Linked DNA regions of Arabidopsis thaliana. The protein of the gene in region 2 interacts with the protein of the main gene of each other region in a biochemical or structural test. Each region holds a gene or a part of one and is shown on either strand. Other genes may lie near its edges.

Evidence for each region.
Region 1: the proteins of GF14 PHI (region 2) and CINV1 form a complex in vitro, tested with the Arabidopsis thaliana proteins (one study listed by BioGRID).
Region 3: the proteins of GF14 PHI (region 2) and ABF3 interact in a test that uses a peptide from one of them, tested with the Arabidopsis thaliana proteins (one study listed by BioGRID).

What each region holds. Positions count from the first base shown.
Region 1 is NC_003070.9:13,121,581-13,127,299, forward strand, and holds CINV1 (cytosolic invertase 1), read right to left. Parts: upstream 3,749-5,719; 5' UTR 3,538-3,748; intron 3,248-3,537; 5' UTR 3,229-3,247; coding exon 2,863-3,228; intron 2,791-2,862; coding exon 2,359-2,790; intron 2,268-2,358; coding exon 2,077-2,267; intron 1,997-2,076; coding exon 1,629-1,996; coding exon of another isoform or gene 1,603-1,628; exon of another isoform or gene 1,179-1,602; coding exon 880-1,178; 3' UTR 502-879; downstream 1-501. UniProt on the Arabidopsis thaliana protein: Cytosolic invertase that specifically cleaves sucrose into glucose and fructose and is involved in the regulation of multiple tissue development including primary root elongation, root hair growth, leaf and silique development, and floral transition.
Region 2 is NC_003070.9:12,865,144-12,869,464, reverse strand, and holds GF14 PHI (GF14 protein phi chain), read right to left. Parts: upstream 2,340-4,321; 5' UTR 2,202-2,339; coding exon 1,707-2,201; intron 1,617-1,706; coding exon 1,494-1,616; intron 1,410-1,493; coding exon 1,293-1,409; intron 1,104-1,292; coding exon 951-1,103; 3' UTR 575-950; downstream 1-574. Other genes in the region: AT1G35150 (General transcription factor 2-related zinc finger protein), read left to right, coding at 3,227-3,492, 3,656-4,321. UniProt on the Arabidopsis thaliana protein: Is associated with a DNA binding complex that binds to the G box, a well-characterized cis-acting DNA regulatory element found in plant genes.
Region 3 is NC_003075.7:16,293,486-16,298,858, forward strand, and holds ABF3 (abscisic acid responsive elements-binding factor 3), read left to right. Parts: upstream 1-1,848; 5' UTR 1,849-2,522; coding exon 2,523-3,410; intron 3,411-3,562; coding exon 3,563-3,856; intron 3,857-3,941; coding exon 3,942-4,013; coding exon of another isoform or gene 4,014-4,104; coding exon 4,105-4,134; intron 4,135-4,405; coding exon 4,406-4,486; 3' UTR 4,487-4,800; downstream 4,801-5,373. Other genes in the region: DJ1C (Class I glutamine amidotransferase-like superfamily protein), read right to left, coding at 5,068-5,283, 5,363-5,373. UniProt on the Arabidopsis thaliana protein: Binds to the ABA-responsive element (ABRE). Mediates stress-responsive ABA signaling.

The DNA.
Region 1 (5,719 bases), 260 kb from region 2:
TGTTCGATGTTGCATCAAGAAAAGATGGACGAAATGGATTTGATTCCATAGTTGAAAGAAGATCAAAAGATGATAGAGATTACTTTGAAAAGAGATTTAGAAGAGAATCGGAAGCAATTAGGTCAGAAAATGAAAATGAAGAAACTCAGATTTCACTCACGAACACGAATTGAAGAATCGCGAGGAAAATGATACAACATGAATCAGAAAGAAATTGAAAGAGATGAATGAGAACGAATTTCGATTGAAGAGAAGCTCATGATCGGAGAAGCTCTGATACAATATTAGGATTCTTTCTCCTCTATAACAAACTCAAGCTGAAGAAACAAGAGTTAAAAAAGAGAAAGTAAAAATAACAGAATCGTATTATTTCTCATTAAGTGTTTAATGTGTACATTGTAAAGTATTTATACTCAAATACACTTTTACCGTAAGAGTAAAATACTCATTATATGGATAAGTTTAATTTAGAATAGTGTTACATTATCCTAATTATATATGTACTGAAATCAATCGACCAAATGAGTGAGGCTTTTGGTATTGAATTTGAGTGGAGGCTAACTTCAAATCATGATTATAATAAAGATAATTTCACCTATTACACCAATAAGAATCGGTCATTTCAGCTTATTGAAAGATATTCATATTGCAATAGCGCCAAAATGCAAATTATTAAAAAAAAAGGTGTAATTTCGATAAAAACGGCAAACGAGCTTTTCCCATTTTCTTTTTCCTTACTTGCAAAGCAAGAAAGAAAGCAATCAATAAAAAGTCTATGTCCCCGCACAAGTTTTCAATAACATTATCATACAAACAACAACAACAAAAAATCATATCGTGGCAAATATTAGAACCGGAACAAAAACCTAAAGCGGTTTTTCAGAGTTGTGGCCAAGACGCAGATCGCTTGATGACTGGTTTCATGAGTTTGTCTTCTTCAAGAGAGATCATACCAATGTGTGAAGGATCTTCTAGCAACATTTTCGCCACTAAGTAACCTGCGATTGACCAAGTCTGGTATTTCCTTGCCTGTTTTCCAACGTACCTTCCGAGCTTACCGTCGTAATACTCTGGCCAACAGTCTCGGTGAAGACGCGATTCTATGAGGTCAACCGCGCGTCTTGCGATCTGCGGTCTCCCTGTCTTAATGCACGCTGCTGTTAGCTGCCACAGCAAAACTGTACATTGAGCAGAGAAACAAAAAGGCGGTCAGATTCTGTATTCAATTTTATTGACAAATTTAACACTACACAACATGATGTTCATTATTCAATCTATCAAAACATTTCAAAACAAAATATATCAAAGGTTGCCACAAATGTATATATTTAAGAAAGAAATGCGATCATAAGATACAAAAGTTGAACCAAACTAAAATGTATCTATACGTTCATATGAATAATCCAAACCACAACCAAACTGTAGCTAAACTAAGTACTGAGTTTTTATAACTAAAATCTAGCTAAACTATCTTAAATGAATATTTCTGTTCTTATGCCAGTCTACAAAAAAAAATTGAAACCCAAATCAAACCGAAAAAAACCCTAATGGCTAGGTCTAGCGAAAATCTCAGTTAAGCGAGATAAGAAATGTCTCATGCAATCAGTCTCCAGGGAAAGAAAAAAGACCTGGCCAAGATCCACCATTGTGGTAGCTCCACCGTGTGTTCTTGGGGTCACAGCCAGTAACGATGCGCCACTCATGGCCCTCGAGGCATGGATAACAAATCTTGAGAGGCATCTCACCTACAAGCTCTGCCCACCGGTGCTCAAGGAGGTCCATAATGGCCATGGATTGATCTGGAGTGGCCAATGAAGAAAGTATGGAGACACAATTACCGAGTGCGAACCACCGGAAATCCATATGGGCAGGTCCTACGTTTCCCACAAAGTAGCCTCCACGGAGAGGCATGAAGTCGAAAACCCACTCGGGTATAGAATCAGGCATCACATTGAACTTGTTCACCGCCGTGTGAGAGTATTCCTCAGTCTTGAACCTTTTTAAACAAATGTACTATAAGTTATAGTGATCTTTTGTGACTCTACATATCATCTAAAGCAAATGAAATAACTATACCTGTAAATGTCATTGAGGTTCTGATGATCAAGCCAGAAGTAATTGCGCATATGGAAGCTCAAGGCATGAAGTCGCTTAACGATCCTCTCAATGACCTCTCTGCCATCTCCATCGGGCTTTAACATCGACAAAGCAGATCTCAAAGCCATGAAGAACAACGCTTGGATCTCAATGGGATACCCATAAACACCCTTCAAATACAGGAAAAAAAAGAAATCAATCTTAATAGCCAAACAAAACAAGAAACAACAATCAGTTTCGATCAAAGATTGCTTTTAATACCATTCTTCGATCAATCATGGAACATCCATCAGCACAAAGCAGTGTAGGAAACGTGTCAAACCCTTCAGCTAAGCACAAAGACAAGATCAGTTTCATTCCCTTTTGACACTCTGGTGTCTCAGAGAGAGTCAAATCTCCAGTAGATTTGGTATAAGCACGAAGAAGAATAATCCACCAGAACCCTGAATCTACAGGAGCCACACGTCCAATAGCACTCTCACCGAAATCCGCAACAATGTTATCCGTTTCACGGATAGGATCATGAAGCACCTTGAAACTTGCAGGCATCACACCTTCTCCTAACTTAAACCGATCCACACGTTTCTCCCAACCTTGCAGCTGAAGTGTCTTAAGCAAAAAATGCTTCACTATATCCGGTTCTCCATTCATCAGAAACGCCAACGCACTCGGTACAAAATCCCTCACAAACACCTACAACAACCGCAAAAAAAACATTTTGAAACGTTTTGAGATAAAACCATGAAAACTTTTCGATAGTTTTACCTGATCATAGTTCAAGACTTCATCGGTAGTATTATCAACCGCGGCAAGAGTACCAACAGGTTGACCACGGAAGAAGACCATTGACCTTCTTAAAGCCTCCCAAGCTTCAGCCATCATAGGATGAGGCTCAAAGGAGTTTCTAGCAGAAGAAAGAGGCGTATCAAGCACCGATCTACCTCGCGGCGAATCGTGTATACCGTCATGTCTACTGTAACCAGTCGATAGCTCACTCATCGATCTTTCATCAAACGATCTCTTCCTTTCGATCTTCAATCTTGGTTTATCCAAAGCTCGAGTCAAATCAAGATCATCCATCTCAGATAAAGAACAGTGTGATCCTACAGCTCTTAGTCCAACACCTTCCATTATAACACTAAACCAAGATCTAAAATCAAAACAATAAGATCAATGAGATTGTTATAACTCCTAATCCAAAAAAAAAAAAAAAACTCGTGTAGTTGGAACACGCGAAATAAACACATTGCATCTAATTTTTATTCGAATATAAAATTATGCTTGAAGCTGTTCTTATTCGAAATCATAAACAGATCAAGATCTATAACGAGAAACAGAGTCAACTTCAAGTAAAGCTACAGAGACCAGAAAAAAATCAGATCTAAAAATCTACCAAACGAAATCGAAAGAAAGGAGAAGAAGAAACAGTGAGAGAGAGACCTCTGGTGTTGAGTAAGTGAGAAAAGTCGTCGGCGGCGGCGGTGGCGGTGGCGGTGGAGGCGGAGGCGGAGGAGGAGAAAATGATCTCCGACGTGAAATGAGAGAAGAGAGAAGACGGAGAGATTTATAGGAGAGGGAAGAAGAAGGAAAAAAAAAAAACGATAGAGTGAAGAAGATTGATATTTATAATGACGGAGAAACGGAAAAGTTTAACGGAGTTTCAACGGGACTGGTAAAAGAGAGGAGAATTTTAGTTTACCGGTTATAACCGGTGAAAAAGGTAGACTTTGTGAAGTCTACGTGGACTAAACGACGACGGATTTGTGACTTGGGCTGATTTGGCGTTTGTGTTTTTCTTCTTGGAAACTTGTTTTATCGGTTGCCCAGTTTTTTTTTTTGACCGATACACCAAACTTTTTTTGAAGTGTTAGGTGGACAGTACATTTACTAGGTATTTAATAATAATATATTTACTATGATTTTTGTATTAATTTTTTAGAAAATTGACAGCCTCTAAATGTATTTATCTCTCCAAGTTGTTAGGGTTTATTCGAGGTCGTCCCAAGTTCCAATGTCTTAAGTCCAATATTAGATCCGAATCGGACTAATACCTCTTTAGTTATTACTAATCGCAAAAATAATGAGTCCGATTGGTAATACAAATTTGTACAAATTTTTTTGATGTTAACTACAATTATAAGAGCTTTAAAAATAGTGTAAAACTGTAAAAAAATAAGCAGAGAAAGTTGTATAATAAAGTTTTCTACTAAAAATTTTTGTAATGTTTTTGATAAAAATTTTGTGAATGATAATTGTCAAACATATACAAACTGTAGTGTTTTGATAATGAATTACCATTCAAAGCTGATATCCAAAAATATCATGTAAAGTCGTTATTTTCTAATTTTTATTAGTATTATTTTTAATTATTTTGGTATTGTTTATAGTTTTTTTATCTGTAAAACAAATTTATATAATTTTAAGTCACCAATCAAATCAATAATTTACTTTTCTTCTACATTTTTGATAATGTGCAAAGTACAAAACTGTACATTTTTATGAACCTAAAAACTAAAAGGGATAAATAGCTATCTCAAATAGAGAATCAAACTAGATATTCAAGGTCAACTTCTTTTCTAACAAAATTTGGAATAATTTGAAAATTAAACAGTTTTCTCTATTTCTTTTTTAATTATTCCATAAAAACATTGAGTTATTTTACTATTTTCCTGCTGAAAAGATTCAAGAACATGAAAATTCGTAAGTTATTTACGTTTTTGTTTCTCAAATCGTAAATGGGGTTGTTGTAAAAGTAATTATATTTGATTTGGTTTTGTATATGGAAACGTGGAATTCAATATTTACGTACGATTCAAGAAAAATTTGCGTGGATAAAAATACAAAAGGCTTTGGACCTACATATCCGAACCGGATTTGCTAACTATTTATGGGGAACATATAATTAATGCAGACCAAATATAAAAGTCAATATAATACTAATATGATGGTCAGAAATTGGAAGAAATTGATTTATATTAATATAGTATCGCAATGAGATAGACATCTATACGTGGAATCATCATCATTTGGTATTATATATTTTCTTAAGGAAAAAATGAGGAATTTTACTAATTGTCAACATTGTAACGTATTGCAAAAGGCAGTAGGAAATATTTATGACAAGATCTTTCGAAAAAAAAAAATTTTGTCGCCAGAATTTTATTAAGAAACCAAAGTAGGATACCATTTCAAATATAAAAGCCGGCAGACCAACAAAATGTCTCGAGAAATTAAGCTTAAAAGAGGGTAGCTAAGCCCCAAAGAAACGGAGAAACTATTTAGACCAGCAATGAAAACAAAGAAACAAATATCTAAAAAAAATCAACCGTTAAGAAAAAACGAAGATTTAAGCACTAAAATTGCGCAAAGGAACCAAAAGCTCTCACAAAGCTTCCCCAAAGAAACGGTGAACGTCGGAAGCACCAATAAGATCGGAAAGATTTCACACCGAAGTCAAACCAGTAGCAATCCGACAGGGAGGAAAGCAAGAAGCCACCAGAACGAGAGACACAAATACAAACACCATCACACCTCACCAACCAAACCGAGATAGCAAATGCACTAGGGACAAGACAAAAGCCTTGGAGATCGACAAGAGATAAGCCAATTAAGATCACTAGTT
Region 2 (4,321 bases):
CGACAGTTTCGACCGCCTAAGATTATATATGCTTCGTTTTAATATTTTTTTCCAAATTTTAATTACTCAAATTCAAATTTGTTAAATTTTGTCTTCATATATATAGTTTAATGTTCAAATGTTGTTTGATATGAATTAATGTACGTTTTATCTATTTTTTGTTTTGTAAATTTAAGATTTTTATTTTTTAATTTATGTTTTAAATAACTTTTACATATAATAACATATTTATAATATTTTATACTATAAACGCTTTAACCGCCTAAAACTGTTTAGACCCGATGAAGCGTTGCATTGGGTTACCGCCCAATTAACGCCTAACGTTTTCTTGAACATTAATCTCTACCTTACTATGAGTGATGCTATCAATTAATCAGCTTTTGAGAGGTATTGACCTCGTTCATGTTAACTTTTGGTTGAGGTCTGCAAAACAATAACTGGTGAACGAGGTTGATACAAACTTTGGTAAGTCCCATTTGATTCAAACCTATATGCCCAACACTTGTTATTCCTACGCAAATCTCATCGAAATTCACGCAAATTTTGAGGTCAGTGTTTCCTGTAATAATCTGTATCAGTATTAGCAAGCGCTCATTCTCAAACAGCGTAAATTGTGTGTGCATAACCTAAGCAAACTCAGAAAACACAATTGCAAACGCAGTCACATGTATACAAAAACGCATAACCAGGTGAATGGCAAATCATTAATAAGAGAGAAAACTGAGTTTCAAGTACAAGGCATAAGCCGGGAAATGCAATCAATCAAGAGAAGAAGTAAAACAAAACAGAAATCCAGTAGCATCCACGATTGAGAAAAGCAAACAAAGGACAAGAATTAGACGGCCTTAGAAGCTTCGGGGATAGCAAAGGAAAGATTAGAAAATAAACACCAAGCAGAAACATAATTATAATTGCATAACTTAAGAATACTGAAAAAAGAAACCACAAACTTAGATCTCCTTCTGTTCTTCAGCAGGCTTTGGTGCTGCTGCTTCTTTAATCTCCTCCGGACTTTCGTCCTGATTAATCGTCGAAATTAACACAACAGAATCAGAGATCAAGACCAAGAAGCTCATGAGAGTATTATCATACATAATGCAAAACTAAACCATCTGATTCAAAGCTTATGAACAATGTGTGTGCACAATTCCAGCATCATGAGCCACTAAGCCTATCTATCATATCCATTATCAGCAATGAACTATGTTGGTGGACAATTCCAAAACTATTCTATCATAACCATTATCAGCAGTTTCGATGAAGCAAAGAACGGTTTCGTTTCGATCGTTTACCTGCATGTCAGAAGTCCAGAGAGTAAGATTGTCACGAAGAAGCTGCATGATCAAGGTACTATCCTTGTATGACTCCTCTCCAAGAGTATCTAACTCAGCAATGGCTTCATCAAACGCCTGTTATATCTCAATATCAATACACATAGAGTAGTACCAACACAATGACTCAAATCCCAAATAGATCAGAAACTTTCTCATCACCTGCTTAGCGAGATTACAAGCACGATCTGGAGAATTAAGAATCTCATAGTAAAACACAGAGAAATTCAAAGCCAAACCAAGACGAATCGGATGCGTTGGAGCCAATTCAGCATTAGCAATATCCTACAAACAAACAAAAGAAACACAGATTCACACAAATCATGATTTAACCTAGAAATGAGATCCAACAAAATTCCAGATCGGAGAATAAACCTGAGCAGCTTTGTAAGCGGTGAGAGTATGTTCAGCAGCATCTTTCCTCTCTTGACCAGTCTTAAACTCAGCCAAATACCTATGATAATCTCCCTTCATCTTAAGGTAAAAAACCTTAGAATCTCCATTAGCAGAAGCAGGAACAAGTCTAGTATCAAGAAGCTTAAGAATACCGTCACAGATTTTCGATAACTCAGATTCGATCTTGCTTCTGTAATCACGGATCGTGGTCACATGGTCATCGTTACCACGACTCTCTTCTTTTTGTTCAATGGAAGAGATGATTCTCCAGGAAGCACGACGAGCGCCGATTACGTTTTTGTAAGCGACGGAGAGGAGATTACGTTCTTCGACGGTGAGTTCGTCTTTGTCAACGGCTTCAGCGACTTTTTCCATGAATTCAACCATTTCTTCGTAACGTTCCGCTTGCTCTGCGAGCTTTGCGAGGTACACGAACTCTTCCCTCGCCGAGGATGATGCTGGTGGTGCCGCCATTAGAGATCGGTGATGGATGGATTCAGATCTGAGAGAGATTGAGAGAGATTTTTTTTTTTGTTCTGTTTTCGAATTTCAATTTTTTTTTTGTTGGGGTTTAAAAGATAGTTTTGTTTTTTTTGGTTTTTGTTTGAGTGGGGAGCGACGATTGCGAAAGGAGATGGAAGGAGGACCGTTGGATTAAATTTTGTACACGGGAATTTTCTGATACTTTTTGGGTCGGTTTTTAGGTCATCTCCAACAGCAGTTTTTTAATGAGTATCTGGAGATTAAAAAAATAAAAAGTAATGAAAAAGGTGGAGAAAGAAAGAGAAACGTTTCTCATATGAGAAACTATGAGAAACCCAACTCAACCCCTTGTTATTTATGATTGGTCAGATTTTGTCTTTATAATATAAAATTTAAATAAATAATATATTTATTATTAACTGATTAAAAAAATAGAATTGAGAAACTCATACTGTATCTGTGCGTTGGAGATGCCCTTAGTTTATTTTTATGTGGAAAAAGTTACTTTGTTGTATTTTGATTCCTTAATGGACCTTTTACGTCCATATTGGCATTTTGTAATTTCTGTTGATTGAGCAATTTTTTTTTTAAGTTGAATTTTGAAATTGTTTTGTTAAAAAAGAAAGAAATTGTTAGGTTATTAATTATTATATATTGTATAAAAAATATCTTTAGAACGTTTTATTTTAAAATTAGTGCCAATTTATTTTATGCAATTTATTTTATTTTTCAAAAAAAAAAACTAAATATATATAGACTGTTTAACCTATTAATTTAAAAGAAGTTTTACTTAATGATGTAATAAATAAAATTTTCACAAGACTTATTCTAATGGAAGAAACTTCAAACAATTCTTTTAAAGAGATATGTTCTTAGGAAATAAAAAAATTAGTTGATCAATGATATTTAGTTTAGTATTTGATTTGTTGGAATTAGATTGTACATATAAACTTATTATTACAGATTTTTTTTGTTAAAGTTATGTTAGCTTAATTGTACAAAAATATCACAAGCAGATGCTTGATAACAAGAAGAGAGAGCACATGCCTACATTGGCTCCTCCAAGCAGATGCTTGATAACAACAATAATGTGGACAGTTTGGATGACGAATGAAGTGGATGAGAATGAGTTTGATAACAAAGATCAAGATGAAGTTGTTCATGAAGAGAAGAAAAGTGGGCAGAAAGAAGAACTTCCTTCCAATATTTCCGATCCAGTAAATTGGGATGACATGAATATGAGATTCAGAGATTTATTAGTTGAAAAGGGTCTAGCGACAAGGTTATCAACTAATTACCGGTTTCGTAAAGATAGTATTGGTAGGCATTTTTCTCAAACATTTTACATAAGAGAAATGAGGAATGGGGAGAAACAAGATAGAAGATGGTTGATTTACTCAAAAGCATTAGATTAAAGTCTTTTGTTTTTGTTGTAAGTTGTTGAGACATGACAAAAAAGGTGGTTACTTGGCAACTAGCGGGTACAATGATTGGAGAAATCTTTCAAAGCGACTCAAAGAACACAAAGGCAGCCATGATCACATTACTTGTATGACTCGTCGAGCTGAGTTAGAGTCTAGACTACAGAAAAATAAAACGATTGATAAGCATGCCCAAGAAGCAATAAACAAAGATAATATTCATTGGAGGGAAGTACTCCTAAGGATCATTGCATTGGTGAAAACTCACGCTAAAAATAATTTAGCATTTCGTGGAAAAAATGAAAAGGTTGGCCAAGACAGAAATGGGAATTTTTTGAGTTTTATTGAAATGATTGCAGAATTTGATGTCGTAATGAGAGAGCATATCAGAAGAATTGGTGCAGCTGAGATATATTCTCATTATTTAAGTCACAAGATTCAAAATGAGCTAATAGGTATCTTGACCGGTGAGATTAGACTTATGATCATGAAGACAATACATGCTTCAAAGTACTGTTCCATAATTCTTGATTGTACTCCGGATATTAGTCATAAAGAACAGATGACTATGATCATTCGATGTGTGAATATTTCTTCAACGTTAACGAAGGTTGAAGAGTTTTATTTGACATTTTTGGAAGTGAAAGATAAATCAAGTGAAGGGTTATTCTCTAAGATTAAAGAAGCATT
Region 3 (5,373 bases), on a different chromosome or scaffold from region 2:
TCCTACAAACATGGAATCATGGAAAAGTGACTTTAGTGGAATACTCCACATTATTAGCAATGAAACAGAAATGCGAGAGACTTAGTCAAGTCATGACCAAGTCCTTAATCGTATCTTGGATTGGGCTTGCGCAGACGTTTGGGCCGAACGTTGATGTTGGGCTGAATGTCCTCATCATGCTATGCCTCATAACTCATTCCTCAAAGCTTTCTTCTAATCATAATTTATTTGTTTTTTGTTTTTTTAATTTGCATCGTGAGGTCTTCTTTTTGATCCAATCAATGGACCTCTTTCTAAGAGTTCAACTACTCTTAACAACTTTAGGTCTTCTAGACACATAGAAAGTAATAAATATATATGGGCATGACACTAAGGTTTCATTCTTTTTCTTTATTGTGGTTTAGGTTTTTGATCTAATTTTGTTATTGTAAGAATTATTTTGTAATTTTGTTATTATCTTACCATGGAATTAAGAAAAAGTAAATTTCTTCAAACTTACCCTGTTGTTGCAACTTACATATTAAACTCTCTCTTTTTTGTTAAAAAAAGGTTATATATCTTTTAACCTTCTAGGATTTTAGCCTAGCTGAAAAAAAGTTACACATTAAACTTGTTTTTGTTAACAACGTTTTAGCATTTCGGTTGTGTGTTGTTTCTTCCGGTTGTTATAGTTTCGTACTTTCGTTGGTTTTGAGTTTTGGATTCTTGAAAGGTGGTTATAATTTATACATTTTGTTTCTACACGACCTTAAAGAAGTAACTTCAATTAATTAAATCTAATTCGGGAAAGAGCACGTCTCAAAAGAGTCGTCGAGTCCCATGTGAATTCTATATGATAACATTAAACAAAATCACGGTTCCATATTTGTTTAATACTAGTATGTATTGCAGAGTAGACTTTCCTAATCCAGTAGATTCTTAAAGAAAAAATAATATAAAAAGATTGAAAATAGAAATAAAAGATGGGAGACACGAAGGGTCACTTGTATTGTACCGAGTCCAAATGTAAAGAAGTCTCAATAATGGTGTAATAAAATAAAGAAGTTGAAGACAAGATCACAATCACCATGTGAAGATCAACACACAAGATCATAATTTTATTGTATGTTTGCTTCATTTCAACTTTTTTAAATATTGTTAAGAGGGCAGGCATTGAGTGCGCCACGTGGCAAATGACCATCCCTTTGTAGGTGCAGCAAACGTGATAAAGATTCCGGACTGTTCACCCATTCCCTTCTTCCATTTGTTTCTTATTTTTTCTTACAAATCTTATCGTATCATAATTTTTTTTCCATAATGCGCTCCCTTGAATGGAATAACGTTGGTTATTTTGTTTCCAACCAAATTTTCATACCATTCGATCAAATAGGTGCATCAACTTACAAGAAATGAAAGTGTGATCCCTATTTTATTAGGTAGCTAAGTAAGTGTTAGTGAACACTACGTTAGATTGTTACTCAAATAACGGATCAACGAATCTCGTATTCATTACTATACTGCTAATGAATGCATCAATTTTAATTTTTATTGGTTATCTATCCTTAAAAAAAAGTTATAAGAATATTTTGATAATTTGTTCCAAGATGTAGTACTAGTAGTAGTACTTGGTCTCGTAAACGACGACGCCGTTTAGGAAATCAAACGGCCAAAAATGCTTCCACTTTGCGAAATTTTATTGGTGGGAAACGCAAATGTATCGATAATGATTTAAAGAAAAAGCGGCGTTTCTAATTGGACCACGTTGCCCAATCTCTACGGCTCACGCACGATCTGACGTCAAATTGGCATAATACTATAATAACCTTATCGAGAATAAAATAATAGTCGCATCCAAACAAAAGAAACCAACCCTTTTATATCACGACGAGTGTCACGCCATGGACACTTGTCCATCTCTCTCGCTCTGACCCCTTTCAGGTATCTTTTATTTCTCAAAGAGGAATTATTGATTTTCCATTTCCAAAGAAAAAAAATAAATTCGAAGGTCAGGAAAATTAACAAAAAACTTCCTTTTTTTTTTTGTTAGTTTGTGTGACTGAGCTGCTTCATTTTTTTTCTTTCTTTTTTTTTTTGGTTTGATGAATCGATTTTTGTTGTCTATTACTGATTGGTTTTCTTGTTCAGATTCACTGATTCGAAGAGAATCATGATTTTTTTTTCCCGCTGAATAATAAGCATATGATTGGGTGTTTTGGAGATTTGTTTACTGATTAAAAGGAGATTCCTTTCCATTTTCACCATTTGCTCTGTTTGACTTCATTGTGCTTATATTTCATTTAGATCTTTTGTTTGGGTTTAGCTTTGGAACTGATAAAAATCTGATTTTGTCTCACGGCTTTGGATTTGGTTCTTAAATTTTGGTACTTTAAAACTGGATAAAGATCAGTGCTTTTTTAGATTCTTCGTTTGTTGATGAATTTATGGATGTATGTATAATTAAACCATAATCTCTCTGCTTGTTTGTTTTCTTATAGGTAAATATCCAGAAGCTTGATCCTCCTAGTTGTACGAAAGCTTGAGTAATGGGGTCTAGATTAAACTTCAAGAGCTTTGTTGATGGTGTGAGTGAGCAGCAGCCAACGGTGGGGACTAGTCTTCCATTGACTAGGCAGAACTCTGTGTTCTCGTTAACCTTTGATGAGTTTCAGAACTCATGGGGTGGTGGAATTGGGAAAGATTTTGGGTCTATGAACATGGATGAGCTCTTGAAGAACATTTGGACTGCAGAGGAAAGTCATTCAATGATGGGAAACAATACCAGTTACACCAACATCAGCAATGGTAATAGTGGAAACACTGTTATTAACGGCGGTGGTAACAACATTGGTGGGTTAGCTGTTGGTGTGGGAGGAGAAAGTGGTGGTTTTTTCACTGGTGGGAGTTTGCAGAGACAAGGTTCACTTACCTTGCCTCGGACGATTAGTCAGAAAAGGGTTGATGATGTCTGGAAGGAGCTGATGAAGGAGGATGACATTGGAAATGGTGTTGTTAATGGTGGGACAAGCGGAATTCCGCAGAGGCAACAAACGCTGGGAGAGATGACTTTGGAGGAGTTTTTGGTCAGGGCTGGTGTGGTTAGGGAAGAACCTCAACCGGTGGAGAGTGTAACTAACTTCAATGGCGGATTCTATGGATTTGGCAGTAATGGAGGTCTTGGGACAGCTAGTAATGGGTTTGTTGCAAACCAACCTCAAGATTTGTCAGGAAATGGAGTAGCGGTGAGACAGGATCTGCTGACTGCTCAAACTCAGCCACTACAGATGCAGCAGCCACAGATGGTGCAGCAGCCACAGATGGTGCAGCAGCCGCAACAACTGATACAGACGCAGGAGAGGCCTTTTCCCAAACAGACCACTATAGCATTTTCCAACACTGTTGATGTGGTTAACCGTTCTCAACCTGCAACACAGGTGACTAAAGAACCTAAGCTACTACATTTTGTAGGAAATACAATCATCTGAAAAATATTAGACGTAGCCTTCATGTTTTAAGATAAGCTGGTTTTGGATATGCATGTATGTTTCAGTTATCTGAGCATGACTTGTTTTTACTTTTTTCGCAGTGCCAGGAAGTGAAGCCTTCAATACTTGGAATTCATAACCATCCTATGAACAACAATCTACTGCAAGCTGTCGATTTTAAAACAGGAGTAACGGTTGCAGCAGTATCTCCTGGAAGCCAGATGTCACCTGATCTGACTCCAAAGAGCGCCCTGGATGCATCTTTGTCCCCTGTTCCTTACATGTTTGGGCGAGTGAGAAAAACAGGTGCAGTTCTGGAGAAAGTGATTGAGAGAAGGCAAAAAAGGATGATAAAGAATAGGGAATCAGCTGCAAGATCCCGCGCTCGCAAGCAAGTGAGTGTTTGTTTAAATTTTGGAGATTAAAGAAACCTTAAAACTGTGACCATGTTATTTACTTTTTCACTTTCTTGCTTGACAGGCTTATACGATGGAACTGGAAGCAGAAATTGCGCAACTCAAAGAATTGAATGAAGAGTTGCAGAAGAAACAAGTGTGTCTCGCTTCTTCCCTATCACAATTAAGAATCTCGAGATTTTCATATTTTCTTGAGGTTGTATTCACTGACCAAATGTTTCATGCAGGTTGAAATCATGGAAAAGCAGAAAAATCAGGTACTGTCTTGATTTGAATATCCTCTATGGTTGTTGGCTAGGCTTTTAACTCTCACTCATAATGAATTACACTTTTGGACAGTATTCTAAGCTTTTGAGTAGAATAGTGTAAGCTATACCATGAAGTGAGACATATCATCACATTTTTGATTTCCCACTCTGCATAAAGTATTTAAGATTTGTGAATATGTTGCAATGCCAATTTGGATATTTCATGAGACTAATCTGACGAGCATGGATTTAACGGAAGTTGGCTCATTTGTTGTTGCAGCTTCTGGAGCCTCTGCGCCAGCCATGGGGAATGGGATGCAAAAGGCAATGCTTGCGAAGGACATTGACGGGTCCCTGGTAGAGCTTATAATGGCGTCTAAGGAACCCAACAAAGCGCCGAAGTTATAGAACAACTCAGAAGATAGAAAGCTAGCTTTGTACGTAGTTTAGGCAGGTTCTGTGGGTGATTGTAAATCTTGAAGTGTGGCGGATTTGACAGAGATAGATAAACACATATCTGTTCTATTTTCCTAAATCTTTTGGTTTTATCTTCCTGATGTAATGGATCTTTATCATTTGTCTTGAACATCTTTGTGACTTAACCAGAGTGAATTTATCTTGTATCTTGTCTGCAATTTTTTCTTTAGCTCATTTGGGCCCAAGTCAACACCTTTATTATAGAAGAGAGTAAACATCAAGTTTAGCATCAACATCTGGTAATCCAACTGGGCGTACAAAATTAGATACACATACTAAATTGGCAAAATTCTTGCAGATAGCATCCCGCTTCAGGATAAGGTGCATCAACGTTGAACAGATGATACTTGTGAAAAGTCTCTGGAGTTGAGGTGGTTTGATACCATCGGACCGTTATACTTCGGTTTAAGATCAGTAATGAGACATCTTCTAACTGTGTTTCTTGAACAAGATGCTTTCAAACGGTTACTGCCTTGGATACTCATGCACAAGCCCTTCTGAAACACTCCTTGCTCTAGCATGTCCGAACAGCTTGCTAACAATAGCCAGGGAAAATTTGGTAACAGTTGCGAGCCCCAAACTTGTAATCACGTTTCCATCTATAACAACTTCGGCTCCTTCGATCATTTGTTGATTCATAGGCTCGTCTGACTCTGAAGGATACACAGTCGTTCTCTTCTCCTAAAATAGGATTCCAATTGTTTATGGCGTTTGTCCATGTATATGACAAAGAAAAGAACAATAGTTGTCTTCACCTTACCTTGAGTAAAC